Linked DNA regions of Sus scrofa. The protein of the gene in region 3 interacts with the protein of the main gene of each other region in a pairwise test. Links are inferred from orthologs where the notes say so. Each region holds a gene or a part of one and is shown on either strand. Other genes may lie near its edges.

The links.
Region 1: the proteins of EFS (region 3) and OSTF1 interact in binary tests that used the Homo sapiens proteins (3 or more experiments, as listed by UniProt). The two-hybrid records come from large-scale screens. The link is inferred for Sus scrofa from reciprocal best matches to the Homo sapiens genes EFS and OSTF1.
Region 2: the proteins of EFS (region 3) and TSSK1B interact in binary tests that used the Homo sapiens proteins (3 or more experiments, as listed by UniProt). The two-hybrid records come from large-scale screens. The link is inferred for Sus scrofa from reciprocal best matches to the Homo sapiens genes EFS and TSSK1B.
Region 4: the proteins of EFS (region 3) and TRAPPC6A interact in binary tests that used the Homo sapiens proteins (3 or more experiments, as listed by UniProt). The two-hybrid records come from large-scale screens. The link is inferred for Sus scrofa from reciprocal best matches to the Homo sapiens genes EFS and TRAPPC6A.
Region 5: the proteins of EFS (region 3) and SORBS2 interact in binary tests that used the Homo sapiens proteins (3 or more experiments, as listed by UniProt). The two-hybrid records come from large-scale screens. The link is inferred for Sus scrofa from reciprocal best matches to the Homo sapiens genes EFS and SORBS2.

Annotation. Positions count from the first base shown.
Region 1 is NC_010443.5:228,179,056-228,185,086, reverse strand, and holds part of OSTF1 (osteoclast-stimulating factor 1), read right to left. Parts: intron 5,218-6,031; coding exon 5,164-5,217; intron 3,037-5,163; coding exon 2,929-3,036; intron 1,791-2,928; coding exon 1,741-1,790; intron 1-1,740.
Region 2 is NC_010456.5:50,935,764-50,941,133, reverse strand, and holds TSSK1B (testis-specific serine/threonine-protein kinase 1), read right to left. Parts: upstream 3,250-5,370; coding exon 2,155-3,249; downstream 1-2,154. UniProt on the Homo sapiens protein: Testis-specific serine/threonine-protein kinase required during spermatid development. Phosphorylates 'Ser-288' of TSKS. Involved in the late stages of spermatogenesis, during the reconstruction of the cytoplasm.
Region 3 is NC_010449.5:75,717,990-75,724,548, reverse strand, and holds the start of EFS (embryonal Fyn-associated substrate), read right to left. Parts: upstream 4,310-6,559; 5' UTR 2,342-4,309; coding exon 2,099-2,341; intron 1-2,098. UniProt on the Homo sapiens protein: Docking protein which plays a central coordinating role for tyrosine-kinase-based signaling related to cell adhesion. May serve as an activator of SRC and a downstream effector. Interacts with the SH3 domain of FYN and with CRK, SRC, and YES.
Region 4 is NC_010448.4:51,578,582-51,584,612, reverse strand, and holds the end of TRAPPC6A (trafficking protein particle complex subunit 6A), read left to right. Parts: intron 1-3,425; coding exon 3,426-3,493; intron 3,494-3,656; coding exon 3,657-3,774; intron 3,775-4,370; coding exon 4,371-4,454; intron 4,455-4,579; coding exon 4,580-4,673; intron 4,674-5,426; coding exon 5,427-5,458; 3' UTR 5,459-5,707; downstream 5,708-6,031. UniProt on the Homo sapiens protein: May play a role in vesicular transport during the biogenesis of melanosomes.
Region 5 is NC_010457.5:46,723,852-46,730,558, reverse strand, and holds the start of SORBS2 (sorbin and SH3 domain-containing protein 2), read left to right. Parts: upstream 1-3,079; 5' UTR 3,080-3,135; intron 3,136-6,707. UniProt on the Homo sapiens protein: Adapter protein that plays a role in the assembling of signaling complexes, being a link between ABL kinases and actin cytoskeleton. Can form complex with ABL1 and CBL, thus promoting ubiquitination and degradation of ABL1.

The DNA.
Region 1 (6,031 bases), on a different chromosome or scaffold from region 3:
CTGCGAACTGTCAGGAGAGGTGATCTCTGAAAGCTGAGGGCCTCAGCACCACAAGTATAAGAAACACAATACTCCCAGCAATGTGAATGAACTTGGAATAGGAGCTAAGCTCCACATGAGAACTTCACTCCAGCCAAAACCTGGATCCCAATCTGTGGGACCCTGAGCAGAAAACCTAGCTAGGCTACCCAGAATTCTGGCTTACAGAAAGTACAAGGTAAACAGGTTTAGTTCTAAGCTGCTAAATTTGTGATAATTTGTTACACAGCAACAGAAATCTAACACAGAGCTCTGGGGAATGAAAAAGGTGACCAAAACAAAAGGGTGAGAAAATCTCTGAGAAAAACTAGAGGCTCAATCTGAGAGTGCCAACATAGCTACTAATGGGCATTCCAGAACCAAAGAACAAAGGAAACAGATAAAACTATAAAAGAAATAATACAAGATATTTTTCCAGGCTGAAAGAGTTCACCAGAATTATCAGCAAAAGACTCATGCCCAAGCACATCACTGTGAAAGTTTAGAACACCAAGGATAGAATAAAACTCTAATCAAGAGGAAAAGCAGATTATGCACAAAACAATGGGACTCAAAATGGCATCAAACATCTCAAAAGCAACCCTGGGAACTAGAATAACTTGGAGCCAGGCCTGCCAAATTCTAGGGAAGTCATTTTCAACCTAGAATTCCATCAGCCAAATAGTCAACCCCAGGCTCCCCTTTCTCAGGAATCTACTTGATGGTACTTTTCAACAACAGGAAGACACGGGATCCAGAAAAGTGAAGATACAACACAACAAGGAGGTAAAGGGTTTGCCAGGAAAACAGCAAAGGGCAATAGAGACCGAATTGCTTCAATTAGAGAATGAAGAGAGAGGGCTTCAGGAAGTCTGATTCCAAGCAGAAAAAAAGAGAAAGCAACTGATTATAATTTACATTTTAGAAAGATATATCAAAAGAGAGTATAAAAACAGTATAGAAGTCATTGTGAGATACCAAAAAAAGTTAAATAAAAATCAATAAATACAGAAACAAAAACATTTAACAAGCAATGGATGATATTTAAATATTCATAATACTATAAGCATTATATAGTAATATAACCAAAACTATGATGATTCATTAGGAAGACCAAAGGAGGAAAGATTGGGTGGTGGGTGCTGGGAGACAGCTGGGCAGTTGACAAGCTTAAACCATCACCTACCAGAGAGAATGTCAAAATACTTATGAAGATAATGAATTATGAGACAGCTCCATAAGCACATTCCTTAGTAGCATGAAGGTGAGAAGAAAGAGCTAAAAGCTGAAAGTGATATAGATGAGAAGTAAGGCAGGCATTTGGGGCTTTATACAATTTGGACTTCGTACAATAACTTTTTAACTATGTGCTTATAGTATTTTGCTTAAAAATTTTATGAAGGAGGAGTTCCCGTCGTGGCGCAGCAGTAACGAATCCAACTAAGAACCATGAAGTTGCGGGTTCGATCCTGGCCTCGCTCAGTGGGTTAAGGATCCGGTATTGCCATGAGCTGTGGTATAGGCCAGTGGCTACAGGTCTGATTCAGTCCCTAGCCTGGGAACCTCCATATGCTGCAGGTGTGGCCCTAAAGTGACAAAAGACAAAAAAAAAAAAAAAAAAAAAGCGAGTTCAAGACACCAAGATAGAATTTTACACACCCAGAAGCTGTACCAGAAAAGCAAGGCAGGTGGGCTAAATGTCTTCTGTGTAAGCAATCTCACCTGCTGGTTCAGTTCAATGTTTGGCTGAGTAAACAGCATGTCCACTATATCTGAAATTCAAATAGAAAAGATCTTATTTAAGAATGGAAGTAAAAGTCTACCAGGTCTGGGCATAATAATTTTTAAAGAGAAAGAGAGGACTCTTTTTAGACAAATCTTAAGAAAATCCTTGTAACAAATCATTCAACATTTAGGTAAATAGAAGACCTAAGAATCTAAAAGTAAAATTATTTAGGGGAAATTTTTTCAAATAATTTGGCTTTTGCATTTTCACATGACATCTGTGATAGGAATATTATGTTTGCTGGGGTACTTAATAGTCTTATCACTAAGTTGAGTTTAAATTTTCCTTTAACAATGCTATTTAATTTGTTGGGTTCTTTGTTTCTCATTGTTGGGATTATTTTCTGCGTGTTGCAGAGAGCAGACAAAAGTGAGTGGTGTGGCAGATTCTTGGCCAGGCTAAAATACATCTAGAAATTCCATTTGTCATTATTATTGATTATAATGGAGAAAGTTATCAACTGAATCACTTACTCAAGCAAACACTATTTTTCCCCTAAATCTTAAACTTAAAAGAGTACTGGGGGAGTTCCCATTGTGGCTTAGTGGTAACAAACCCAACTAGTATCCATGAGGACGGGGGTTCAATCCCTAGCCCCACTCAGTGGGTTAAGGATCCAGCGTTGTTGTGAGCTGCGGTGTAGGTCAGACAAGTCTTGGATCCCAAGTTGCTGTGGCTGTGGTGTAGGTTGGCAGTTGTAGCTCCGATTCAACCCCTAGCCTGGGAACCGCCACATGCCACAGGTGCGGCCCTTTAAAAAATTAAAACAAAAAAAAAATCAAACTGGGAAAAACTAAGCTAGAGGAGTGAATTCTGCCCCTTTCTTCTATGAGATTGGACAGTGGGGTTTGTTTTTATATTACTGCTGTTTTCTTGTCAGCTTTCCAAGCCTGAGAGAAGAAAGCTTCTACTCTTTCAAGTGAAAGAGGTCCATGTACTAAGGCTGACCAACCACATTTTGCCTACTGTTTTAAAGAGCTTCCAAAACAGGGCTTTTGGCTGATGTTCTGAAAGATTTAAAAAGAATAACCAATTTTTTTTTTCATTTCTCTAATTCTGGTTCCCCTAGATGAAGCACATTTTCAATAGCACAGACATTTGTGATAACAAACAAAATGTAATACCTTTGTGGCCCCCATGACAAGCCCAATATAGGGCAGTGCTTCCAGCTTTGTCTAAGCCATTAACACCAACTCGGTTGTCCAAACACTCTCTCAACCAGCTCAAGTTGCCTGAAAAAAATTTACATTTATAAAAACACATGAAACAGATTTCTGGGTTGTTCTGTTTTGCTTCTAAATCAATTTCATCCTGCATAAGTTTGTATTTGCAAAGGATTAATAAGTCTGAAATTAAAACCTGCCCTGTAATGCATTCACTATGGTACATTTTGACTTCCAGTTTATTCATGGAAAGCATTAATATCAATTTTTAATGGGAAGAGCTGCCTAAATGAGTCCACTTATTTTTACTCTGTTTAAAAAAAAAAGTTGGAGTCTCCACTGTGGCATAGTAGGTTAAGAATGTGACTGCAGTGGTTTGGGCTGCTGTGGTGGTGTGAGTTGGATAACCCTGAACAATGGGTTAAAGGATCTGGCATTGCCATAGCTTAGGTTTAGGTCGCAGCTGTGGCTGGGATTTAATCCCTAGCCTGGAAACTTCCATATGCCACAAGTGTGACTATTAAAAAAGAAAAAAAGAAAAAAAAAAAAAAAAAAAGGTGCTTTTTGTGTGTAAAATCCTGGAACTTTTGGGGGGGGACAGTCAAGCAGAGACTACTCATTCATATTAAAAATGCATTTTCCAGGGTTTCCGCTGTGGCTCAGTGGAAATGAACCTGACTAGTATCCATGAGGATGCAGATTTGTTCCCTGGCTTCGCTCACTGTGTTAAGGATATGGCATTGCAGTGAGCTGTGGTGTAGGTCACAGATGTGGCTCTGATTTGATGTTGCGATGGCTGTGGTATAGGTCAGCCTAGCCCGGGAACTTTCATATGTCGCATGTGCAGCTCTCAAAAAAAAGCATTTTCAGTTCTTAAAAGAACAGAAAAAACAAATAACCTACCTAAAGTTGCTGCTCTTATATGTTAAAGTATAGCTATTAATTTAAAGTTCTCTTGCTAATGCTGTAAATATCTAGTTTACAAAGAATTTTTATAATTTCAATTTAGTTTAATTCTAGTTATACACAATCCTAAACCAATGGTTTCCTTTTGCACATTCAGATTTTAAAAAGATCTAAAATTGGAGTTCCCGTCGTGTCTCAGCAGAAACGAATCTGACTAGTATCCATGAGGATGCAGGTTCAATCCCTGGCCTTGCTCAGTGGGTTAAGCATGCGGCGGTTGCCATTAGCTGTGGTGTAGGTTGCAGACAAGGCTCGGATCTGTTGTTGCTGTGGCTGTGGCGTAGGCTGACAGCTACCATTCTGATTCGACCGCTAGCCTGGTACCTCCATATACAATGGGTGCAGCCCTAAAAAAAAAAAGACCTAAAATTAAACGAAAGAAAGCTCAATGTGGCCTTACAAGAACTCTCCATTCTCTACAGCAGGGTTTCTTAACAGCAGCCCTATGGATATTTGGGGTTGGATAATTCTTTGTTATGGGAGTTGTACTATATACTGTAGGATGTTTAACAACATCTCTAACCTACATCCAAAAAGTGCCAGCATACCCCCACTGCTAACAGTCAGAATGTCTCCAGACATTACCAAATGTCCTAGAGTTCGGAGGGAGGAATTACGCCTAATGGACAACCACTGATCTACAGGATAAAGTTCCAAGTATGAGGCCCATCCCTAGTGCTCCTTCCTCCCCTGCTGCATCCTCACCATACATGCTTGCATTATAGCAACTCTCCCAGATGCTGGACCCCCAAGAAGACCCCGTCCTCTACCCTTGTTACTCATTCTGGCCTCTAGAGCCTACTTAATTGAAACACACTTCAATTGCTATTCTTATCACACTTCAATTGCTATTCTTATCACAAGGTCTTGTAATGATCTGCTACACATGTCTCTCCTCCTCCAGACTCTGAGCTCGGGGAGTCATAGACCATGCCTTTCCACTTGCCACTAAGCACATGGCAGGTAAAGTACTCCCAAATATTTGTGGACTGGCATTCTGGAAATTAAAACCACATATTTCTCTAAAGTGAAAGCAGGCAGTTCAAAGACTGCCTCTGGGGAAGGCAAGGATTTAACTGGGACGGGAACATTTCTGGGAGATAGGAATGTTCCAGATCTTGATCTTGATCTTACATGGGTGTATATATTTGTCAGATTCATCAAACTAGATAATTAACATCTGTGTGTTTTACCATACTGTGTATCACAATAAAAAAGAGTCACACCTACCTCTTTTTGCAGCTTCATGCAATGGATTGTCAATGGATTCTGCCTGTTCAGCCACTAGATTGAAAAGAAAAAGGAAAAACCAGTGCTGAGAGGCCACCCAGCTTCAGAAGTACCACGACTTTCCATCGTACAGTTTCCCTTACTTAATGTGGATTTAAAAAAAAAAAAAAACGACAGATAATCAAAATGATGTTTTGTGCTTTGAAAGAAGCTGAATTATGTGTCAAATGAAACCAGGCTAAAACAATAACCTAGCAATTAACTGTGAGGATAAACAGAAACAAACATAGCAATTAACTGGAAGTATGAATAAAAACAACAACAGAAAAAGTATGATCAAAAACAGATCCAAGGTCTGCACACCAGTTTACTCAAGTGTTTCACAAATTTAGTCAGGAAACTGCAAAAGAAAGCATTTGATGTTGACTTTTACATACTATAAAAACATCCTGCTTTGAAGATGGCTAAAAAGAATTGTCTCCCTTGTGTGCATATGAGGAATGGGGTAAAGGAGAAATATTTTGCTTTCTGCATTCAGAAAGGGCAATCAGCACACCTATACTTGCCTCTACAGAAGGTGTGTTCACTGTTGTCCTAGAGTCAGTCAGAGTGACCATGTGAAGCTTGCTGTCCAAGTGACTTCAGACCCACCCCTCCCACACAAAGGGCTATGGACACTCCCTTGGCTACGAGGTATCTAAAGCAACAGAGGAATATTTTATACCCTCAGTGTCTGTAACCAGCTGGGTCTGGGATGCATAGTAGAAGTTTATTTGGGATTTCAAAGGTTAGAGGAGTGTAGAAACATTTGAAGTCTTAAAATCCAGAATGGTATGGCCCTTAGACTGGTAAGTGGGACCCCTGTGCT
Region 2 (5,370 bases), on a different chromosome or scaffold from region 3:
ACTAATGGACAGGGACTTGCCTTTCTGGAGCCTAGAGGAGAGGGAGGTTCAGTGTCACCCACAGTGTGAACACCCAATGACTGTGCTGGTACAGAGAGACACAGAGCTCTGAGGACAGAGAGCTTGGGCAGAACTGGGGGTGCTGGGAAGGCTGAGGCCTGAGGTCAACCCACACAGAGGAGGACAGAGGAGAATGATGATTTAAATGCGTGTGACAGAACAGTATGGTGAGTGTGGGGAGGAGAGGGCCATTGAGGCCACATTGAGGGTCTTGATCCTAAAGCCTCAGGGGGGTCCCGGAAGGAGTCTGATCCAGGGCCAAGGGCAGTGGAGCTGCTCACATGGTGGCCTGACATTGGAGGCCACCTGGGGAGGAGTAGGCCTCAGGCACCTGGGCCTCTGCTCTGCACCATGCGATTTCAGGCAGTCACCCACCCTCTCAGAGCCATCTCCCTGCCTGTAAAGCATACAGTAGGTGCTCCTTCCTGTGGTTCCTCCTGCCCAGCCTTGCCTCCAGGCTGGGCTGCAAAGAGTCACTCCCAGGACCTCTTGCCTTGCTCGCCATCCTGATGACCACATTGATGACTGGCGAGGAGGCTCAAAAGCCTCCCCAGGACGTCCCCATCCCTGCCGGCCCCATGTGATCTAGAATTCCACTCCATCACCAGGTAAGCTGCAGCACTGGGCCCCTGGGGCCTCCAAGACCACTTGGCCAGTTCTACCCTGGGACCTGGGCACCTGCAGCCTGCCGGCTGCTGTCAGGGGCACTCAGACAGCTTTGTGTGTGGAGGCGATGGCCCCTCGGCTGGACCTGGAGAGATGGGCCTGGTCTGCAGGGACATGTCTGCAAGCATGGTTATGGCCCATGTGTGTGGGGCAGAGGGACTGGAAAGCCAGAGCTGGGAGGACCTCAGGGCCAGGCATGGGGGCCCTTCCTACGGGCAATACAGGAGGGGCTCTGATGGGGAAGGAGGCCTACGTCGTGGCTGAGTCAGGACACGGGAGCACAGAGCCATGAGAATCCAGGGCACAGAGGTGGCTGTGGGAGATGGTCAAGAAAGAGGCAGGCTGATGTGGGGAGGTGCTGCCAGGGGGCCAGGTTTGGGCACTCACTGGGGCTCCCCTCTCCCCAGACGCCAACCCAGGCAGGAGGAGAGGTCAGCGTGAAGGTCTGTGCTCTCAGGGTATGTTGAACCCGAAGATCCACATGAGGTCGTCCAGAGTAAGCGCAGGACAGGGGGAGGAAGTGGCTGCCTCACACAGCTGGCTAAGAACTGTGAGAAGCGATGGGCAGCCCTGGTGCCTGGCAGGCAGTGATGCTCATGCAGGCCCACTTCCTCCGTGGATATGAGGGCACTGGGGCCAGCCATGCATGCGGGGGCACCTGTCCTCTCCCTCAGCCAATGTCCACTCATCTACTCTGGCAGGGAGGTCGCCTGGGGGCAGACTGGGACCAGAGGGGGTCAGGATATGGTCAGGGCACACAGTGACCATGGGACATGCAGCAGAGCCCCCCCTCCAACCCACACCACTGCTCCTGGGCAGGGGAATGCCCACCAGGCGGGATGACTCGGGGCACCATCAGGTGCTGGTTGGAGGTGGCAGAGGCCCTGGAGACATAGACCAAGGGAGGCCAGCCCCTCCCCACCAGCAGCCCTGTGAGGTTATGGTGGCTGGACCCTAGCAGGAGGGCCTCGTCTCCCACCCCTCCTCTGCCACAGCCCCCTCACCCCTCTCCAGCCCTGAGATACCATGAGGTACTCATGGGCCACCCTGCCCTCTTGAAGCAGTGTCTTCCTCAGTTGGTTCTGGTCCAGGGCCTGAAGTCACAGGCAGGGCTGGACACACAGGGAGGTGAAGTGCAGTGCAGTCCAAGAGTAGGGAACAGAGGGAGTGCAGAGTCCTTTTCTTGGATGACTAAGGCCAGCAGAGCAAAGACATCCACCTAGGGGGCTGCACTAATATAGTGATTTATTGCTTCTTTACCATGTGGGTTACCAAGTTCAAAGGGAGGGGGAAGAAACTGACGAAAATAGCAGCTCATCTGGGACTGTCTTCCTTCTCTGGGGCATCCCTTTGCTTCTCTGGAGCTCAGGCTGGAAGCCGCAAGCTCTGCCTTGTTCCCTGCCGGCCCCCTGGGCCATCAGAGGCTGGCTAAGTGTGTGTCTCTGAGGGCTGCAATGGGGCCCCTTCCTCAGTCTCCTTACTGGGCTGCTCGCTGGCCAGACCCGTGGCCTCTGACTGCCTGGACACCTGCATCTGCAGCACCTCCTCCTCGGGGTTTGTGTCAGGCCGGGCCTCTTCCCGGGGCTCCAGCTTGGTGGCAGACTTCTTGTCAGAGCTGGGCTCAGGGGGCCACGGTAGCTCAGAGCCCTGGGAGCTCTCACCCTCCTTGTTGATGGCTGCAGAGGACAGGCCCCGTGCCTTGGGCTGCACCCAGCAGTGGCTGAGGACCTCATCGATGTGCAGCCGCCGGTTGACGTCAGGCTGCAGCATGCGGTAGATGAGATCCTTGCACTCGCCTGTCAGGTGCTTGGAGCGTGGGAAGTTGACACGGTGCTCCTTCTGGATGCGCAGCATCTTCTTGATGTTGGAGTCATCGTAGGGCATGGAGCCGCAGACCATGATGTAGAGAATCACGCCCAGGCTCCAGATGTCGTACACCTTGGGCTGGTAGGGGATGCCCTGTAGCACCTCGGGGGCTGCATAGGCTGCTGACCCGCAGAAGGTCTTGCTCAGCGTCAGTCGGCCACTGTCATCCCGCAGGCAGCGCTTGGAGAAGCCGAAGTCAGACAGCTTGATGTTGAAGTCCTTGTCAAGGAGGAGGTTCTCGCACTTGAGGTCTCGGTGGACAATGTCCATGTCATGGCAATACTTGATGGCTGAAGAGAGCTGGTGGAACTTCTTGCGAGCATCATCTTCCTGCAGGGCCCCCCGGGTCTTGATGAACTCAAGGAGGTCGCCCTGGACCCCAAGCTCCATGACGATGTAGACCTTGCCGTCTGATGTTTCAAAGATCTCATAGGTCTTGACAATGGAGCGATGGTTTAGCATGGCCAGAATCTCAATTTCCCGGGGAAGGAATTTCTCTAGGAAGTCCGTGGGGGCTTTCTTGCGGTCGATGATCTTGACCGCCACGTTGAACTTGAGGCGCTCAGAGTAAGCGGATTTGACTTTGGCATAAGAGCCCTCTCCCAAATTTATTCCCATGATGTAACCTCGTCGCTTGAGGACGGCAGCGTCATCCATGGTGCTGGGAGCACCCAGTGCCTCTGAGGCTGCCCTCTACATCCCTGCAGGACATGGGCCAGTGGCGTCCTCATTTACACTGTGGACAGAGAGTCCTCTGGGCTTGTCGGGCCTGCCGTCCCTGCCTCCTAGAGGCCAAGACTCCAGAGTGGAACCTTTGGCATTGTCTCCCAGGTGACTTAAGCGGGTGAAGTCATAAAGGAGGAGTGCCCTGGGGAATGAGGCTCTGGTCTGAGCCACTTAGACTTGGAACCCTAGGAGGCCGGCCAGTGGGCTGCAGCAGACCGAAGGCCAGCAGAGCGTGACCTCATGCTCTGCTGGGACCCAAGGTAGGAGGGGACTCAGAGGAGCGCATAGTTCTGCCTAAGCCTCCAAAGTGGAGCCAGGGCTACTGATGGATCGGTGGGCTGATTTCTGCAAGCTGAGGCATCCCTGGAAATGCAGGGCATGTACATGGTCCCATCAGTCTGAGGCTCAGTAGGAAATGGGAGTCGCTCTCAAGTTAGGGATCTCTGAGGTGGGCTACAGATATGGAGCAGAGGGTAGGGAACCCTGTTGTAGTAGCAGAACTGGAAGAAGGGCAGATGGTCACTAGGACCTGGGAGGAAGAGGGCAGAGAGGGCCACCTTGAGAGAAGCAGTGATCTCAGGTGGAGGCTTCAGGAGCCCATGGGGAAGGGGCTGGGGAGATGTCCCTGACCTAGAAGCCTTTGATAGTGTCCATGCAGGCAGTCTGCTGGGCACACAGCAGACCAAGAAGGCGGGTGGGGTGGTCAGGAGGGGCAAGGACTCCTGGCCCAGTGGTCACTGCAGCTTAGGAAGCTGGTGCTCTGCCCTCCCCCTGCATGGTTTAGGTGGACTTTTCACTTCCCTGTATGGCTCTCATCCAAAACTTTGCTGGTCTCTGACAGTGGCTCTGCAGGGGTTGGAGGTGACAGCTGGTAGGGCTTTCTACTCTTGACTGTGACTTCCCTTCTGGTGGTCTTCCCAGCTGTAGCCCTGGCTGGGCTCCCAGGGCAGGTGTGGGGCTGGGGGCAGAAGGCTGGGCCTGGATCCAGTACAGCAGCTGCTGGGGGAATGCTCCCTGAGGACATGCCTACAGGACAGTGTTAGGCAGGGACTGCCATTTCTACCAGTAGTGGGGCCTCTCTGCTGTGGGCCCCCTTTGTCCAGCATCTTCTCTGGGCCATGCCCTGAGGAGACAGGAGCAGGCAGGTCTGGTCTGGTCTTGGGGTTGATGTTGGTCAAACGCATCTGCAGGGAGTGGGTACTTCTCTCAGATGATTCTAAGTGTCCCTGGCTGGAATCCCGGGACATTCAGGATGAGCATGCCCTGAAAGGGCTCAGGGTAACTGCTCCTTGGAGTGAGCTGGGGGGTTGGAGGTGGGCCAGGTGGGTGCCTACCAACCTTGGCCCTATCTGGCCTTTGCTCCCATCCTCACCCTCTTCCCCAGCCCCGACACCCTGGGCCAGGCCTTGTGTGCGTGGCTGGTGGTCCTTCCTATCTCTGAGAACACCCCATCTGCTGTGTCCCCTCCCACGATGACAGGTGCATGGCCAGCACTTGGAGTATTGTCCCCACTGGCTTCCCTCCATGCACACAGGCCTGCTGTGGCAGCAGTTGTGCCAGCGTCCCTGCCTCCCCCCTTGTGTAGGCAGGGCCCTTCCTCCAGAGGCCGGCTTTGCTCACAGTCACTAGGATCTGGGCTTCCCTGTCACCTCTCCTTGGTGACCCTCCCTGAGGCTACTTCCTCCTCTGAAACATTTCAGTTGTGCGTGCGGGGGAAGCCACACACATGCATGTTCCCTACACGGTGGAACCGCCTTCAGAACCTCTTCATAGATAGTCCAGATTCCACTCCACAGCGGTTCCGCTTTAAAAAGACCACTTTGGGGTGCACTCTGTGACCGCTGACGAGACCTGGGCCATCTGGTGCCAGAGGTGTGAAGACCCTCGGTGTCCCACTAGCTCCCCCTGCGCACTGCCCCACTCCCTTCAGGCCACGCCCCCGGGCCGCGCCGGCCCATGAACGTCCCGCCCTTTCCGTGTCGGTCATCTAGGCCCCACCACCCCTGTCCCCCGTCCTAGGATCCGGGCCCTTTGGAGGCCGCGCCGCTGAGG
Region 3 (6,559 bases):
GATAGTTTGGCTTCTTCTGCTTCTTCTTCTTTTTTTTTTTTTTTTTTTTTACCTCGGCCACCACAATGTTAGTTCCCTGGCTAGGGACTGACACACACCACAGCAGTGACAATGCCAGCTCCTTAACCTGCTGAGCCACCAGCGAACTCCAGATTATACTTTGGTTTCTAAAGGATGTGCCACAGAAAGAGAACATGCTAGCCAATGGCACAAATTCCTGGTTAACTTGGCACTTTCTAACTGCAAATTAGAAATTGGTGTTTTGGATTTAGCCCGGGGTTAAGAGCATGGTTCTAAAGCAGCAGACCTGGGTTTGAGTTTTGCTCTACCGCTTTCAAGCTGGGTGACTTTGGGCACTTTGTTTAACCTCTCCGAGCCTTAGAGCCTCAGTTTCCTCCTTTGTAGGATTCCATACCCATATCCAAATATCCACTTTCAGATAATAACAGTACTAGCCTCATGTGAGGACTGGATGAGATAATGCATCAAAAGACCAGGGCAGGAGTTCCCATTGTGGCTCAGTGGAAATGAATCCGACCAGTAACCATGAGGTTGATGGTTCGATTCCTGGCCTTGCTCAGTGGATTAAGGATCTGGTGTTGCCGTGAGCTGTGGTATATAGGTCGCAGACACGGCTCGGATCCCGTGTTGCTTGTGGCTGTGGTGCAGGCCGGCAGCTGTAGCTATAGCTCTGATTAGATCCCTAGCCTGGGAACCTCCACTTGCTGCAAGTGCGGCCCTAAAAAGCAGCAAAAACAAAAAACAAACAAACAAAAAAAACCCAAACAGGACAAAGCTTAGGGCCAGCACAGGGCCAGAATACGCTCAATAAATATTAGCTGTTATTAGGATCCTGTGAGTTTCATGAACATAAATACCATCCCTGTACCCAACCCCCACAAAAAGAAAGATCTACCTCTGAGACTTCAGTGCTGACCAGCTGACCAGTTGGCTCCCGGTCAGAGTACCCCACTCTGTTCAGGACCTCCCCCTCCTCTGGCTCTAAGTGAAGGTCTGCTTACCATCATACAGATGGAGAAACGAAGGGGAGTTTGAGAAGGAGTGAAAAATCTAACTCATTCTCAAGGGTGTGGGAGGATGTCAGGAGCCATGCTTTTCTTCCCAGGCTCACAACCCTCCTTTTAGAGTGCACATTCAGAGGGAGCCAGAAAGCAGGTGGCACCCTCACCTTCCCTGGGAATCCCAGGGTAGAGGGAAAGGTGGAAAGGGCACAGAGCAGCAGGGATTCAGAAAGCAGGGGTGAGGCTGTGGAGAGCTCCTCCCAGTGTCAGGTTTGAATTCTGTCCAATGGGACCAACCCTCCGGGTCTTGCAATTGAGGGAACCCAGGCCAGAGTTCCTGATAGTCTGATTGATGAGGGGTGTGGCCACCCCAGCTCTACCCCTTCCTTAGGGCCTCTGACTAGTGAGGGAGCGGCTGGTTGCCTTAAAGGAGGGTGGCAGTGGGCCACACACTCTCAGGGAGGCCTCCTCCCACTGTCCCATCATGCCAGCTGTCTCCTCCCTTTGTCACCAGTCCCAGAAAAGTGGCCAGAGGCTGGCTGACATCACCTCCCCTCCTCCACTTTTTTTTTTTTTGTTCCCTGACTACTCTCCCTCTTTTGCTCTATTTTCCCCTTTCCTCCATCCCTCCTCTGGGAAGGGCCTCCTTGGGTCCTCTGGCCTCTCCCACTTTTCTGGGAGCTATCTCCGTTCTTTCATCCCCCTCCTAACCTTTTACTAGCCCTTCAATCACAAGCCCCTGCCAACAGCCAGTGGCCATCTGTTCCTGTGGCCACCGCAAAGGAGTAGCTAGGATTCAGGCTTGCCCCCTCCCTTCCTTCCAGGCACAGCCTCTAGAAAGAAAAAAAGGAGGATGGGGAGGGGGAAGGGAGAAGGGGAAACCAGACCCAGAAGGAGCTTGGGACGAGGAGTAAGAGGGAGTGAGGGAAACAAAGTGCCAGGAGGGGGACACAACCACCTAGAGAAGCAAGAGACCAAGGAGCCAGACAAAGAGAAGGCAGAAATCAAAGTGACAGGAGTGCAGGACAAACTGTGGAGGTCTCTGCCCAGCAGTCTCCTCTCTCTGGTGGACTCACCGACGTGGCTATGGCCATGGCCTTGGCCTTCCGCGTGGCCAGCTCCAGGCCAGGCTGTTTCGCTGACTTCAGCAGCGGCTGCCCCACACCATGGAGGCGGCCCCCAGCAGCGGCGCCTGAGTCGTGGCCTCCGCGGAGGTTGGAGGAGGAAAAAGAAAACCCACAAAACTCCCCAAATGGGAGGCAGCTTGGTCGGGCAGGAGGAGGAGCGGGGCGGGCCAGGGCGTCGCTGCGGGACCTCATCCAAGGGCGCGCGCTCTGCACTGTCCCGCGGCCTCCCGGGGGCCGCCGGGTGGGCCAGGCCGGGGAGCTGCCTGCCCTAGGCCGCGGGGGCACCCCGGGTCCGCATGGGCCCAAACCTCCCTTCCAGGGCCGGGAAAGGAGAAGAGGCGGGAGCTGGGGCTGCGCCTCGACGCCTCCCCGGGCCGCTCAGGACGGCCCCGAGGGCAGGGAGAAGCTGCCGGGACGGTCGGGCTGGACGAGCGAGTTTAGGAGCCAACCCTCCTTAGCCGGGAGCCGGCCTGGAGTGCGGTGCTCCTGGGGCTGGGGTCCGGCGCCGAGGGAGGGCGGAGGGATCAGGACGGAGACGTTCGTCCCTCTTTAAACTCTTCCGAGTTGCTGAGCGGAGGCCAGGCTGGCGCCGAAGGGCTCTGAGACCGCGGCCGCTGGGGAGGCGGGTTCCCACGCAGGCACACTCGCCCGGGGATCTGGGGGCGCGGCGACGGCGCCTCGCCACCCGCGCGAGGGCCCGGCTCGAAGGGGCGGAACGGCCTTCCCCACGCGCCAGAGGGGCCCACCCGCCCCTCTCCAGCCCTCAGCCCCCTGGCCCTCGGAACCAGCCCCCTCGTCCTGCTCACTCGCACCCTTTGTGGGGCCGTTCCGCGCGCCCCAGGGCTCGGGGCAGCCCAGGTGTCTCTGGGAACCGAGAGAAAGGCCACAAAGCAAAAGAAGGACCAAAGAGAATGCGAAGGAGGAGCAGGGACCAGGGTCCTGCGGACTCGCCTGAAGGTGGGGTTTGGGGGACACTGAGACGACTAGGAAGGCTCCGGGGGGAGGGGTGGCGCGTGGCCCCGAGGCTCACCCCCGGCTCGCAGCTCCCTTTCCCTCCCCTTCCCGGGCTCCCGGCGCCCTCTCAGTGCAGCTCCTCTCTCCTCCCCTCGGGCCCTCTCCGCTCCGGCGCGGGGCTCAGTCCCAGGGATTAAGAGAAAGGAGGGAGGGGAAAAGGGAGGGGAAGAGAAGGGGCGGAGGGGAAAGGGGGACGTTCCCTCTAAAGGCGGGTGTTGAGTTTCAGCTCAGGACCCTCGGGCCAAATTGCACGCCCCCTCCTGGCTCCTCTCCCCGGCGCCTGCTCCTGCCCGACGTCGCGGCGGACCTCCCGGTGGTCTGGTTCGCTCCCTCCGGAGAGCTTTCCTCTCCCGGTCACGCTCCTGTTCTCCCCCGCCTGCCCCGCGCCTCTCTGCCCGCCTTTCAGTAGCCCCACATCTGTCTTTCCCGTGGGAGGGAGCGCGCCTCTTCCGTCTTTCTGGGGTCCTCCGCGGAGCCGCTCCACTCTCTTGGCTTGGCCTCTCTCTGCGGGGGAGGCAGGTCGCGGGGCTGGGGCTGGACACGGATTCTGGACCTGAGGAGAGAACGTGCTGCCTGAGCGTCGGGTCCCAGAGCTGCCGCCCCGCCGGTCGTGCCGCCTCAGCCAGTCCGGGCCTGTCCCTCGCCGTCACTCTGGCTCACTCCTGCTGCCAGGAGGAGGAGAACTGAGGACAGCGGATAGGACTCTTTCAGAGGAGCTGCGTTCTGGCCCCTCAGGAGCTTCAGCAGAAAGGGCGGGGCTCTGGGGTCCCCACACCTCTCCTGCCCTATTACTTACTGCTCCTTTGTGGGCGCAACTTCCCTCCACCTAGCCCCCACTCCGCGTTCTTCCTTTGGGGGCATACATCAAGGCCCCTCAGAAACTCCAGAGAACCTTCCTTCTTCCGTTTTTGAGCTTCCTGGAATTTAAAAAGTGAGATGCCAAACAGGATTGAAAAGCTGTGGTATATTTTCAATGTTTACATTTAGCGCATTAACACTTCAAACACGTGAACAGACAATGGCTCTGTGTAAAACCTCATTTGGCGATAACATCAGAAGTCTAATTTAAGGCGCTTTGTGAACTTGAGGCCTTGGATAGAGGCTCCCTACCTTTCCTCCCACCTACCAGCACCCCCCCACCCCACATTCCGGGCCCACGTGTCCGTGTCCAGGTAGGTGGGAGGAAAGGTAGGGAGCCAGTAGGGGAGGGGGGATACCTGCCCCAGCTCCATCCGACCCCCTCATTGCTTGGGCACCTATGAACAGACTCAGACTCTCTTAGGATGGGAGAGGAACTTTATTTTGCTTTTTAGGGCCACACGTGTGGCTTATGGAAGTTCCCAGGCTAGGTTGAATCCAGGCTGCAGCTGCTGGCCACAGCAATGGCAGATCCGAGCCCTGTCTTAGACCTACGTCAGAGCTCACAGCAATGCCAGATCTTTAAACCACTGAGCGAGGCCAGGGATCGAACCTGCATCCTCATGGATACTAGTCAGATTCCTTTCCTCTGCGCTGCAACAGGAACCCTGAGAGAGGAATTTTTAAATTTACAGATGCATCTGAAGAGAGAGCTCCCCCATTCCAGCTCCAGCCTGATGCAGCTTCTTCCAGACCACAGCCCTGGGGGGTCTGGCTGCCTGGAATTTAGCAGCTGGAGAATGACTTGGCATGACCACTGCCCAGGGGGCTGCCAAGGCACAAGATGGAGGTGGGGCTCAAGATGGAGGTGGGCAGGAAACCCAGTTCCCAAAGATGACCGCTCTGACTGGCACAAGGGGAAAATAGATGGAAGCCAGAAAAGACTAAGCAGGAAGGAAGTGCTGGCAAAACGGTGGTTTGAAATGTGGGCATTGAGGCCCTGTGCCTGCGGCTAGGTGACTGGGGAGCCGAGTGCAAACCTGCAGGAAAACAAGTCTGTGTTTCTGGAGTGCTCAGGCAGGGAGTGGAGCCAGTTAGACTCAGGAGTGAATCCTGTTTTGTCAGCTGGGTGACCTTGGTCAAGATCTGCAACATCTCTGTTGCTCAGTTCCTCATCTGGACAGCGACTTTGGTGAGTAAATATGTGTAAAGTCCATGGCACAATGGCTCTTCCTCTTCACCTTGGCTCTGCATGGCTCCCCACTCCCCCCACAGCTTGAACCTTGGTGAGAGCTCAAAGTGTTTGTTGAGGGCAGGAGGAGACTTCTCCCTGTTCTTAGGCCTCATCTCTGCCCTCTTGTTCCCAAACAAAAGTTTAACATGATTCTGACTTGTTCAGGGAGGGTTCTGAGCCCCAGGTTAGTTTGGGTGGGTTGCTAAGACCCTGCCTCAGACAGGAGGGCCCTCAGCTTCAGGCTTGTCTTTGCCATTCTTCAGGGGGTAGGAAGGAAGGAACCTCTCCATTTGGCCTTCTGGGTCCCAGTCTTCTCTTCCAATCTTGTCCCTTCCCAGCAAGGCCAAGCTCATCCACAGCTGGTCTCGTCCTCATGCCATTCCGTCATGACTTTCTTGACCTGTTCTTGTTCTTCTTGATTTGCGGAACATCTCAAGTGCTTATGAATTCTTCCAGTTCTCCTCTCTTTAGCCCCATTAGCATCCAGCTTCCCTGAGTTCTAATCCTGGTTCCAACCCTGGCAAAGTCCAACCTGGGCAAGCTATGTGACCTCTTGGAGCCTCAGGTTCCTTGTCCGTCAAGTAGGATAATAATGGAACGGAGGATTAAGAGAATCCTGAGAACCGTGCCTGGTCCATGATGTGTAAATGTTGGCTCAAAGCAAATCTTACTGTCATTTGATGCCAGCTCTATGGGGCAGCAGAAGGTCAAGGACATGGTGCCTGCCCTGAAGAAACTGCCATCACGTAGATCATGCTTGAATACAGTTGATACCTTCTCACTGACCCTGGGTAAAATCTAAATGTTCCACCACAGCCTGTAAGACGCTATGTGATCTGGTCCCTACCCATCTCTTCCCTTCACCCTTAGCCTTTGTTTTTCTAGCCATACTGTCCTTTCTGTTTCTCAAACATGCCAAGCTCTTCCACCTTTGGGTGGAATGTCGTGTGCCCTCTGCCTGGACCACTCTTGCCCCAGACCCTTTTCCATCATCATGTCAAATCCTGCATCTTTGGAGCCTTCCCTAGCTTTTTAAGCTAAAGGTGCCCCTTCTCACTACCCACTCCCCACTGTCCAGTAATTCCCTGTCTTCTAACACTGTTTCATTTTCTTCATAGCACTTATCATTATCAGAAATTATCTCACTTCCTTGTTTGCCATCTGTTTCCTCCTAAAACCTGAGATTCCTGATGCAGGGACCTTATCTGGATTGTCCTCCTCTGCATTCCTAGTAGCATTTAGAATGGTACCTGGTGGATAGCAGATGCTCAGTAAGTGTTTGACAAATGGATTGATGAACAGGG
Region 4 (6,031 bases), on a different chromosome or scaffold from region 3:
GATTCGCAAGGACCAGGGTGTGAATGCTGCCAAGTCCCGGGAAGTGGCTTCTGCCGCCTTCCTCCTCCACCCTCTGCCCTGTCACCCTGTCACCCCCTGCCCTTCCCTCCCTGCCGCCCCTCCTCCTTCCTGCTCGCCTCATCCCCATCTCCCAGCCGTCCCAAGTCTTTGCCATTCAGCAGATACTTAGCTGGCCCCTGCTGAGGGCTGGGGACTGTAGGGCCACCAGCAACAGCACTGCAGAGCGACACAGCCGCAGCGGCCTCCAGCGCCGGGGACGTGGAGGCGCAGGACCACTAGGTTGCTTGCTCCAGGGTCGTGTGTCCAGCCGGCACCAGGGCCAGAATTCAGACTCGGGCAGTGTAAAGCTCACCCGAGGGAAGCCCCCCCGCCCCAGCCCCCTGGCCGGGCTGAGGACCCTGCTGGCTCTCTGGCACTGGCCCGGGGTACCTTCCCTCCCCAGCCCCTCCTGGCTTAACTCTACCTGCTTCCTCAGAGGCGTGCGCCCTGGCTGCACAGCCTCCATCCTTCTTGGCAGCCACCCGAGATGGCCACGAAATCAGCAGGGGCACCACCCGTTCCCCCCACCCCCAGCCTCTCCCCCGCAACGCCAGCCCCACCGGGACAGGGACTGTGTGTTTCCTCAACCGCGCTGCACATCAGGAACCTTTGGGCAGCACTTGTCGTCACACGGGGAAAAGGCATCCTCTTCAGCCTGCTCTCTGGGGCCCCCTCCCCACCACGACCCCACCTCAGGGCCTAAGCCACGTTCTCAGGCTTTCCCTAGCCCCTCTCCTGCACACCTGGGGGGGCGCCCTCAGCCCTCCCCCGAGGTTGCCATCCCCGGGGCACCTGTCACCCCCACTAGGCACGGTTAGGCAAGCTCCTGGAGGCCATGAATGGGGGGTCTCGGGGTCCCCCCTGTCCCCTGGGAAACCCTCCGGACACAGATGCACTCTCCGGCAGAGCCTGGCCCGCCAGGAGCTGCCCCCTAGGAGGAAGGCAACACAGCAAGGGCAGAGAAGGCTGGCCGAGGGCTGGGCAGCACTCCGGGTGCTGGGCTCCGTCAGCCCACAGGACCGAGTCCTCCTTTGTGGGGTTTCCCTTCCAGCCCAGAGCTGCTTCCCCCATCAGCCAAGGCCTCCTCATGCAAAGCTGACAGATGCAGAGCCGGTGACAATGATGGTAATGCTTCCTGGGCCCAGCCCGGTGCGCCTGGCTTGTATTCACCAACTCCCTTAACGGTCCTCATTTTACACGCGAGGCACCTGAGGCACAGGCGGGACTCTGCCCCAGTCCCGCAGCTCGCACGGGTGGGGGGCTGATCTGACTCCTGACCCCGAACCCAGCCGCCAGGCCCGTGGCCCCCTTTGCATCTCGCGCCCCGGGCTCAGCTCCCACACATCACTCATTAGTCACTGGCCCTCCCTGAGAGGCGGCCCTGCTGTGCCTGCGGGAACCGGAGAGCCAGTGTCATCCAGCAGGAAACTGTCCTCCCCCAGGCCCGGTTCCTGCAGGAGGAGCACGGAATGGTGGGCCAGGGCCTGAGTGTCGCGCAGCCTAACTGCAGAGAGGGACCCTTGCTCTGAAAGGCAGGCCACCTCTGCTCAGGCTTCCCTGCTCCCAGCACACCCCCAGGCAGGCCTCAGCTCCCGCCACCTCATGAGGACAGAGAGCCATGGGGGTCACCCTGGATGCTCACCCCTCTGCCACCCACGCTCAGGATTTTTTTGGTTTTGTTTTTTTCTTTTTAGGGCCTGCAGCACATGGAGGTTCCCAGGCTAGGGATCAAATCAGAGCTGTAGCCACAGCAACGTGGGATCTGAGCTGCTTCTACGACCTACACCACAGCTCTGGCAATGCAGGATCCTTAACCTATTGAGTGAGGCCAGGGATCGAACCCACATCCTCATAGATACTAGCTGGGTTCTTAACCCGCTGAGCCACAACAGGAACTCCCCTCTGGGAGGTTTTACCTAACCCCTCTGCACCCTGGTCTCCAGGTGTGAAATACAGCCTACCTTACAGGGTTGTTAAAGTTTGTGGGTTTTTTTTTTTTTTTTCCTGTCTTTTTGCCATTTCTTGGGCTGCCCGCAAGGCATATGGAGGTTCCCAGGATAAGGGGTCCCGGCCTACGCCAGAGCCACAGCAACGTGGATCCGAGCTGCGTCTCCAACCTACACCACAGCTCAGGGCAACGCCGGATCCTTAAGCCACTGAGCAAGGCCAGGGATCAAACCTCAAACCTCATGGTTCCTAGTCGGATTCGTTAACCACTGAGCCACGATGGGAACTCCCGGGGTTGTTAAAATTAAACAAGGGGATTTGTACCAGGCGCCTGGCACAGCGTACACTCACTGTCCGTTCAGCATCTGTCTCTTGTGCACCTCCAGTGGGCCAGGCCCCGTACTGGCCACCACAGGCTGTCCTGGTATTTCTGATGTCCCTGGTGCAGGCCCCCCTCCGTCGGCTCTCTCCAGGTCACACAGATTGAAAACAGGTCACTCCTCCTCCAGCTATGCCATCCGCGCGCCCGGGCATGTGCAGACACCAAGTGCAGCCCTCCCGCTGCCCCTGTCCCTGTGCTGCAGCCTCTCCACCGTGGGGACCTGGCCTGCCCTCCAGAAGGCCACTTGACCACCACTGCCTTCCCGAGCAACCAAGGGAGCACTCCCCTCCACTGAGCCCCTGCATGTCCCTTCCAGAATTTTTTTTTCTTTTTTTTTTTTTTTTTTTTGTCTTTTTAGGGCTGCACCTCGGCATATGGAGGTTCCCGGACTAGGGGTCTAATTAGAGCTACAGCTGCCGGCCTACACCACAGTCACAGCAACGCGGGCATCCGAGCCGTGTCTGCAACCTACACCATAGCTCACAGCAATGCCAGATCCTTAACCCACTGAGCGAGGCCAGGGATTGAACCCACAACCTTATGGTTCCTATTCGGATTCGTTAACCACTGCGCCACGATGGGAACTCCCCTCCCAGAATATTTTAAGGCTTGATGATCACAACTGACTTTCACAGCTTCCTGCTGGCCAGGTCCCATGTGAGCCCCTGGGCAAGTCACCTTGGGCTTCCGGGACCATCACAGTGCTCCCCCAGACGGGTTGTAAGGGTGGACACTGCAAGTGCAAACAGGAAGCGTTGGGTGTCCTCAGGGCCGCAGCTGAACCAGAGCAGACCGCATTTCTCCTGGATCGAGGGGGAGCGGGTCCTGAGGGCTGGTGGGGGCCGTGGAGGTGTGTGAGGGAGTTGAGGAGTCATGGGGTGGAAGGACAAAGCCAGCCTGTCCGGCGGGCCCTGCAGGAAGACCCTCCCCACCCCTGCCCTGGCGGGGATGGCGGGTCCCCTGGCCTCTGCTACACCGGGTGGCTCCCGGTTGGAGGTGGCCGAGGCCCCTGAGCCTCTCTTCCTCCACCTTCTAGGGACAGAAGATGAGCCTGTCGGTCCTGGAGGGCATGGGCTTCCGCGTGGGCCAGGCCCTGGGCGAGAGGTGAGAGGTGGTTAGGGCCTGAGGTTGGGCCCCTTCCTGGGCGCACCTGGCGGGCGGGCAGAGTGCGTTGCTCCGCACAGGAACAAGCCTGGCTCTCTCCCTCTTCCTCACCCGGGGCCCCCCAACCCAGCCCCGGCCCACTGTGTCTGCTGCCACCCCCCAGGTTGCCCCGGGAGACGCTGGCCTTCAGGGAGGAGCTGGATGTCCTCAAGTTCCTGTGCAAAGACCTGTGGGTGGCCGTGTTCCAAAAGCAGATAGACAGCCTCCGCACCAACCACCAGGTGACAGCCAGGGGATGGAGCCCAGAAGAGCGGGGCGGGGACCCCCATGAGGGGAAGCGGCGGCAACCCCCCCGCCCCGGACCTGCCCAGGCTGGGAGGCAGGCGCCTGGGTTTCCCACGGCAGCCACCGCCCCCTGGGCACCTCTGCACAGTACTCCCTCCGAGGGAAGGCAGGAGGCTGTGGTGGGCGTGGCAGCTATTTCCAGGCTCCCAGGATGAGACCCCCTGGGGCTTGCGGCATCCGGCCTCGGCCTGACAGCCTCGGCCTGACACAGCTTGTCTCGATCTGGTCTGAGCTCCCATTAGGCGCCCACGCCGTGCCTGTGCCCGTTCCCCAGCTGAGCTGGCCGCTCCCCGGGCCTGGGCTGCAGCCACCCACCCGGGAAGTAGCACGACCAGCGGGGGCGGACACTGGGCCCGGCTGGAAAGGTCCTTGTGCCGCTTTAAAGGACAGGCCGGGACTGCAGTGGCTTTGAGGGAAGGGTCCTTCCAGACCTCAGTGCAGCAGGGCTGGGGCACTGGGCCCTTGCTTCCTCTCCCCCCACCAAAGGCACAGGCGCCACCCCAGCCCTCACGGGCTCCTTCTCCGTCCCCAGGGGACCTACGTGCTACAGGACAACAGCTTCCCCCTCCTTGTCCGGATGGCCTCAGGCCTGCAGTACCTAGAGGAGGCACCTAAGGTACAGGTGTGGGGGTGGGTGCCAGGGCCCCAGCCCCGGGCAGCCTCTCCCCGCAGTGGCCCCCCGTGGCCTGGCTGCTGGCCTGCCCTCTCTTCCCTTGGTGACCTGTGTCCCCTTGCCCCCAGTTCCTGGCCTTCACCTGCGGCCTCCTCCGTGGCACCCTCAGCACCCTGGGCATCAAGAGCCTGGTGACCGCCTCCGTGGCAGCCCTGCCTGCCTGTGAGTTGTAGGGGGGGGTGGGGTGGGGGTTCCCAACCCTTGAGTGTGGCCAGGGGCCCCCTACTCCTGGGGCCGGGCCACCCAGCCCCATTTCACAGCGGGGAGTCTTCGGCCCAGAGAGGGTGAGTCACAAGCCCAGGCCACACAGCTGGTGCCGCCCATCCACGCCCCTGCCCCCGCCGTCCCCCAGCCCGGAGGAGAGAACTGTCAACGAAAACCTGTTAGTGGTTTGGAACGTTCTTCCCAGCACGGGAACCCAGGTGACATGACGGAGGTCACCCTGGTTGGCACTGTGATAACGGACTCCAGAGGCAGCCAGGCGCCCGGAACCTGTGGCCCATGTGACGGGGCAGCCCCCGGGGCCCCCACAGGGCCCTCTGTCAGACAAGCCGAGGCCCCATCCTTAGCCAGAGGCGGCCTGCAGCTGACTCTCCAGCCCCCTCTTTCCCTCTGCTGGTCCCCAGGTACACTCATCGCGGGGGACCTAGGGCCTGAGTGGGCCAGGTCTGAGCAATACATGCCATGGACGCCTGTGCCAGGCCCCACCCTGGCGACCTACATGCTTGGCCTTGGTGCCCCCAGTCACCCACACAGCCCTGGGATGCAGGCCAGGTGGGAGGGAGCATCACCCCCTTAGACCAGCGAGGAAACAGGCTGTGGGTGCAGAGCAGGGCTGAGCACCTCTGAGCTGCTCGGGTGCTGCCCGGCCCCTCCGACTCCAGCCTCACGCTAAAGCCAGATCTTCTCTTCCAGGTAAGTTCCAGGTGGTGATCCAGAAAGCCTGAGGAGCCCCAGGCCCCACACCCCGCTGAGCCTCACCCCACCCGGACCCCGGCCGATGCCTGTGGTGAGGGCCAGAGGGCCGGTGCTGGGGAGATGGGGGTCCCACCGCTTCAGGGCATCACAGGTGCTGAACAAACGGGTGTTGCAGGGAGGTGGGGCATCCCAAGGCAAGAGGGTCCCTGTCACAGTGGGGGCAGGTGTGGAGGGCTGCCCGCATCAGACACGTCCCAATAAAGATTCTGTACGTGGAACTAGATTCATGGAAGATGGGGGGGTCATGCTCAGTGCCAGTGGGGGCGGGGAGGGCATTGGCAAAGCGACCGTGTCACAGGTACTGTGGGGGAGGCAGAGCACCCCGTGTGGCTCCCCAGCCCTCATTTCCTCCCCTCCTGGGTCCCCCTGCGCCCCAGCCTCTGCCCCAGCCCTGAGGCTTGCCGCCTCCGGCCCCGCACACCTGGCAGGGGAGGGCGGCCCCTGGCGCCGACAGCCTCTCCAGCATCAACAAGTCCAGGGCTGCTCTCTGCCCAGCAGGGGCCACGGAAGGGACCTCTCCCTGGGTGCAGGGCCAGGGGCCC
Region 5 (6,707 bases), on a different chromosome or scaffold from region 3:
TACATGGATGATACCTAGGGGAAAATGAGAAACTCCCCAAGGTGGCTTAGAGTCCAGGCTTAAATGCCATCTTCATAGGGAAAGAAGAGGGGGGATATAGACCTGCTAGGGGAGAAGAAATGATTTTCAGGAAAATGAATGGGCCCTTAGAAGAATACACAGGAGGTGCGATAGTGTGACTATGTGGGTCTGGATGTGGTGTCATTTCTAGTCTCCTCTCTCATGACAGGCATCCCTCTTCCCTGGTTAACAAAATTCCCAGGAGGAGATCTGTGACCACTGACTTCTTTCAGAGATTCTGTCTTTAGGCAAATCAAGGGAGTTCAAAGAAAGCCCCTCCCCTCATTCGCAGTTTTTGAAGTGCCTACAGCTCAAAATAACAAATAAACAAAAGCAGTGTAACTTGGGATAGTATATTCTGCTAGCCTTCACTTTTAAATAGCAACACCAATATGCTACTTGTTTTAATCCTGTAATTGCCTTAGACACAAAGCATATGTTTCCTTTTAGCTTAGTACAAACCTAGACTTGTGCTACAGCACCTGTATGAAGGTTAGTGATTTCAGAGGCTGACAGAACTAGAAAGTTTATTGAGACAGCTCTTGATTCACTCAGCATCCAAGTTCTCAAGAAGCCATGGCACAGTGGAAATGAATCCAACTAGTAGTTCAATCCCTGGCCTCTTTCAGTGGGTCGGAGATCCAGCGTTGCCATGAGCTGTGGTGTAGGTCACAGACACAGCTCAGATTCCGTGTTGCTGTGGCTGTGGTGTAGGCCAGCAGCTGTACTTCCGATTCGACCCCTACTCTGGGAACTTCCATATGCCATAGGTACAGCCCAAAAAAGTAAAAAAAAAAAAAAAAAAAAAAAGCCATGATAGCCACACTCTCTGGGACTACTGTACTGCAAGAGGCCACGTTTTCTGAAGCAGTGACAGAGAACATCAGAGCCCTGCTTGTGTGGGAGACCAGCAACCCCCACCCCCAGACCTGGGTAACTTAGCACCTGTCAGTGGCCCCACCAAGTGCATTACTAGGAGGATTATCTAAGTTAATATTAAAAGCTTGGAAAAGAGTCTGACGCACAGTAACCTGGGTAAATGTTGGCTGCAATAGATACTGTAATTGTGTTACTGGGACCCCCAAAACATTAGGACTGTATTAAAAATCATATTATCAACATTTTCTGAGATATATCTTAATTGCTACTATTAAATAATCTGAACTTCATTAAGGCACATGTATAGGAGTTTAGTTTTCTGCAGGTAAACCATTTATGCTGATCCATCATAGATGAAGGAGACAAGATTACACACACATAGAGTTCGCGCTGTGGCACAGTGGGTTGAGAACCTGACTGCAGTGGCTCAGGTTGCTGGGGAGGCACAGGTCCAATCCCCGGTCCAGAGCAGTGGATTAAAGGATCCGGGATTGCCACAGCTGTAGCTTAGGTCGAAGCTGTGGCTCGGATTCAATTTCTGGTCTAGGAACTTCCATTTGCTATGGGTGTGGCCATTAAAAAAAATTTAGGGAGTTCTTGTCATGGCCCAGAGTTAACAAACCTGACTAGTATCCATGAGGATGCAGGTTCGATCCTTGGCCTTGTTCAGTGGGTTGCCTTGAGCTGTGGTGCAGGCTAGCAGCTGCAGTTCTGATTCGACCCCTAGCCTGGGAACTTCCATATGCTGCAGGTACAGCCCTAAAAATACAAACACACACACACACACACACACACACACACACACACACTCAAATACTTTAAAGATATAGTCCAGGAGTGGAAATTTAACTAAAGTTTAACATAGAAGCAGATACATTTTTAATGAGGTTTTCATCAGATATTATTTATAAACAGGTAGTTTAAACACAATGAAAACTTGGGGATATTCAGGGGGAATGGTTGCATATGAGTGTGCAGTTTGCCTTTTTCCCTTGTTTTCAGAATGGTTCCACTTAGGAAACAAGCTTTTTTCCCAAATTTGCCGATGTCTGCAAATAGTATTCTGCCCAGAAGGGAAGAAAAGAGCTAGTATGATTCATTTGAAGCAAATCTCCAAGAATATCAAAATGGAGTATTTATGGCTGTGAGAGGATTGATTTATCTGCAGAAACAGGTACCACTTCTCCCCCTAAAACCAGGGTCATCCCTTGAAATAGGCTGGCTGGGCAACTGCCTCCTGAAAAAGAGATGAGGACCTCTGACCAGCTCCCACCAGCCCCCAAGTAGCTCCCCACACCCCGTGAGCCTCGCATCCTAGCTGGTCCGAAATTCCTGCCCATGGGGTCAATCCTATGTTTCAAAAATACAGATAACCTGCTTAAAATGAATTTACCTGTGAGAGGAAAGTGTGTGCAACTTCCGTTAGCCTCTTTTAGGGACCTTAAATGGTCAGGTAAGCTCCTGCACCCCTTTTAAGGATGGAAGTAGTCCAGAGGCGATTTTCAATTCGTGCAAAGCGTCTGGCCGACAGAGGTTTAAACTGTAAAGAAAGGACCAGAGCTGGGAGAAAGGACCCTTTGAGGAGGGGGGCCTGATGGGGCCTCCGTGCAGGAGGAGTTGGCTGTGGGCAGAGGGATGGTAGCCTGGCACTTGGTGACGGTGGTGGGCCTAGAAAAGCAAAGAGGAGACGGAATAGTGGGTATAAACCCTACAAACACTATAGTCTTGGCCTACTCATTCTATGAAAATGTGGTGATGAAGCTTTGTTGGAGAAAGTTTGTTTTCAAGAAAAAGCGCAAAGAAAGTAGGAACGAATTAGCAAAACAACGCAGGGTTGCCAAAGCCACGCTGCCTGCTTCAGCCCACCTGAGACCCACCTGAAAATACCCCCAATCTACCCAATTCTATTTAATTCTGACGGTTAACTGCAGTATGCAACACACCAAAAATAATGACAACTCTTTGCACAGTTTCCTTTTTGCAGTTGTTTCTTGCAGAAGTACAGTCCAACTCAGTCAAAGAGTGTATATATGATGCTAAAGTTAAGTTTTCCTCAGTTTGATTTCATTGCTGTTTTGGTTGTTTTTGTGATTGCGGTGCCAATCCCGCCCACTTATTTACTGTAACGTTTCTTTTCTAGAGCCAGAATAGGACAGACTCATATACCATTCTGATCTGGGTGCATTTCTTCAGAAGGTACGCTGTGCTCATGGGAACCGCGGCTGCCTGGGGCTAACGAGGCCAGGCGGGAATCAAGGCATGTGTTTTAACAAAATGTTTTCCCAGGGAAGTCAAGGAAATAAAATGATGGGCGCCAAAGAATACGAGGCTCCTCTAACCTCCCCTTGACATCCATTCCTATCCTGTCCCAGCGGAATTTCTGGTGAGATTCCGCAGACATGCCCTTGATTTGCGCTGATTTAAAGGAGGCCAGGGGGGAAATCGGAGGAAGTGAGGCAGGGAAAGGCCAGATGGGTGGTTTTAGAATTCTTTACTCTGCATTATTTTAGAACGAAATATTTTGGCTGGAGGGTCTTAGGAAATCTGTGAGGAAACTAGAACCAGGCCCCACCCTTGTCCTAAAAATCCTCCCACCTGCTGCTTCTCAGTTACAGGCAGGCCCTATAGTCCTATTTGCTATAGCGAGTGGAAGCTTCTTGCTCACTGACACTTCATGGGGTACAGGGAAGTCTCTTATCACCACGAACACCCCTGATGGCAGGACTGCTGTGGGCCTCCAAGCCATGTGCCCATGTGGAATTTTCCCTGGCTCTCCACCTGGCTCAACTAGGCTCCAGTGGTGGACAGGACAGCAAAGCCCTCACCTGGATGTCACTGTCTGTGGCTTCAGGCTGGTTGGATTGCTTCACCTGCCAATGCCCAGGCTTCTTGACCCTCTTTGTTTCTGAAGTCACCCTGGCCAGATGTGATCTGGATTGGACTCCACCATATGTTGTTCATCTAGCTCATCACAGAGGAATCTACCCAAACCTACCCCCTTCCCCTTGGAAACCTTGAGTAGTTCTCTTACCCCTTCAAGGCAAATTGTTGCAACCTTGGATTGCAAAAGAAGAGATGCCTAAAGGGTACCTTGTAGTCCTTGTACTCATTTCCTGGCATTGCCTGAACAAAGAGCAACAAACTGAGTGGCTTAAAACAAAATAAATCGATTGTCTGGCAGTTCTGAGGCTAGATGTCTGAATTCAAGATGTTAGCAGGGTCACACTGCTTTAAAAGCTCTAGGGAAGAATGCTTCCTTGCCTCTTCCCTGCTCCTGGTGGTTGCCAGAAATCTTTGGCATTGCTTGGCTAATGGCAGCATCACTCCAATCTCTGCTTCTGTTGTCACGTGGTAGTGCTCCTTTTTGTTGTGCATGTGTCTCCAGATCTCTCTCTACTCATAAGGACATCAGTCATTGGATTTGGGACCCACTCTATTCCTCTGTGCTTCATCCTAACTTGATTACATCTGCAAGGACCTTACTTCCACATGAGGTCACTTTCCTAAGTGCTGGAACTAGGATTTCAACATATGATTCTGGGGACACTGCTTACCCTACAATCGCCACTACTGGGCATGGGTCATCTCTGAGCAAGAGGCAGCTTCCATGTGTGCATCCCAAATTTGAAGCACACACTTCAGTCCCCAGATTCAGCACTCACCCTCTGCAGGGGCCATGCAGGGCCGTGGCCTGAGTTCTTACCGCCCAGACTGGCCCACCTGGTCCAGGCTATTTCTGAGTGAGGTCAGAGCATGGAGGACTAATCACCCCTCACTATCATTCAGGCACTTTGGTCCATGTGAACTTTAAACCCACAAGTTTCTTTTTCCTAAGTACTATGACCATCCTATAATAGATCATTCATATATATATATATATATATATATATATATATATAATGATTTTTATTTTTTCATTATAGTTGGTTTACAGTGTTCATTCTTTTTTTCACATTCTTTCTGTCACACTTGGATGCTCTTCCGATCCACACACAGTATTGAGATTATCTTCCAAGGGAATGAGTTTTCCTAAAAGCTCATGGGTTCCCTTGATTGTTCTGAATTTAGAGATTTGCAGAATACCCTGGAGTTACTTATTCCTAAACAGACAATTTATAAGCTCATCAATCTCCATTGAACTTCCCATTTTCTACTCATAGATAACTTTTAAAAGGAAACTTTGACTTCCTCAACTGTAAATTGGGTTGGTTTTAAATGCACATATTTTTCAAGAAAGCAGATCACATATCAGATTGTGGAATTTACTATCCACAATTTACCATAATAATCTGTGTGATATTTTTTAGTCCTCCATCTTCACACTAATTTGACTGTATATCCAAAAAGAGACAGAGACAGAGTCAGAATGAGAGAGAGAAAGTCCACTTTCTAAGTCAGTGCTTAGTCACTGCATCTGACTTTGTGTTAAGACAAAGAGAATCCTACTGAAAAAGTAAATACCAAGAGGCTTAGTTAGGTATGACAGTGCAAGACATTTTATAAATATTTTGATACACAGATACGAGAGAAAGTAATTTATGAGATGGTTATTTTGCATTATGCTATGTTCAAAGCCAATTGAAATTCCTCATTTGCATTAACCATCTGAGCTGTTTTCCACTTGGAAGAATGTTCTAGTCTGCGTTCCAGGTCCTTCCATATTAGGTGGGTAGCATTAGAGCCTCTGTATTTGAATCTGTTCAGATGAGACTGTGTATCAAAATAAGTTCTACGTATAGATAAAGTAAGGTTTTAAATTAACCAATGGGATTGAGTTTTTTTAATCCCTAGCCATTTAAAGAATATGAATACTTGACCATGTAAAAAAGATACAAAAGAGTGAGGAGCATGAGTCATTTTTCCCCAATAGAAGGAAATGACCGTTCAGTGATTTTCATAGGAAAAGTATTCAGTAAGCAGATAACATCAGTTATTTAAAAAATATCAACATGACACTTTATCAGTAACAATGGAATTTGGGTAGAACACTGATGGGCAGTAAGGTCAGGGCAAAGCCCCTTCCAGGTTTCAAGATGGTCCCTACTTGCTCACCTGTTTCGGCAGGCAGGCAGTTGCCTGGGTGCCCAGCTCCAAAGTTGGGCAGAATTTAAAGCCTGGACCTCCTCAAGTCCATGACTTCTGGAGCAGGGCCCTGAGCTAGGCTATTAAGCCTGGGTTCTAGTGGCAAATGGACTATTGCCAACTGGGCTGCAGCAACTCACATGAGGGCTCTCCAACTGTCCTTTCTTAGAGGAACTTAAAAGGGCCTCGCTCAAGGACTTCTTATCAGAAAAGCTGAGTTATCAGTACTCTAACTCATTAAATGCATATGCTGCCTGTATCTGTGAAGATTTATCAAAGCTAAAACATGAATTATTAGTTCCTTGGTTGTCCTGACAGTGTCTCATGAATGAGAGAAGGCATGCTCACAAAAGAGAAAAAAGAGGTGACTTTTATTAAAATTCAACCCACCATTGAGATGATGAAATGAACATTTGGGGATATTTTTCCCCTGTTCTTAAAACAATTTCACAGTGACCTTTTTTTAAAAAAAATTGGGAGTTCCTGTTGTGGCTCAGTGGTAACGGACCCAACTCGTATGTATGAGAACATGGGTTTGATCCCTGGCCTTGCTCAGTGGGTTAAGAATCCAGGGTTGCCAAGAGCTGCTGTGTAGGTTGCAGATGCAGGTCAGATCTGGCATTGCTGTGGCTGTGGCGTAGGCCAGCAGCTGCAACTCAGATTCAACCCCTAGCCTGGGAACTTCC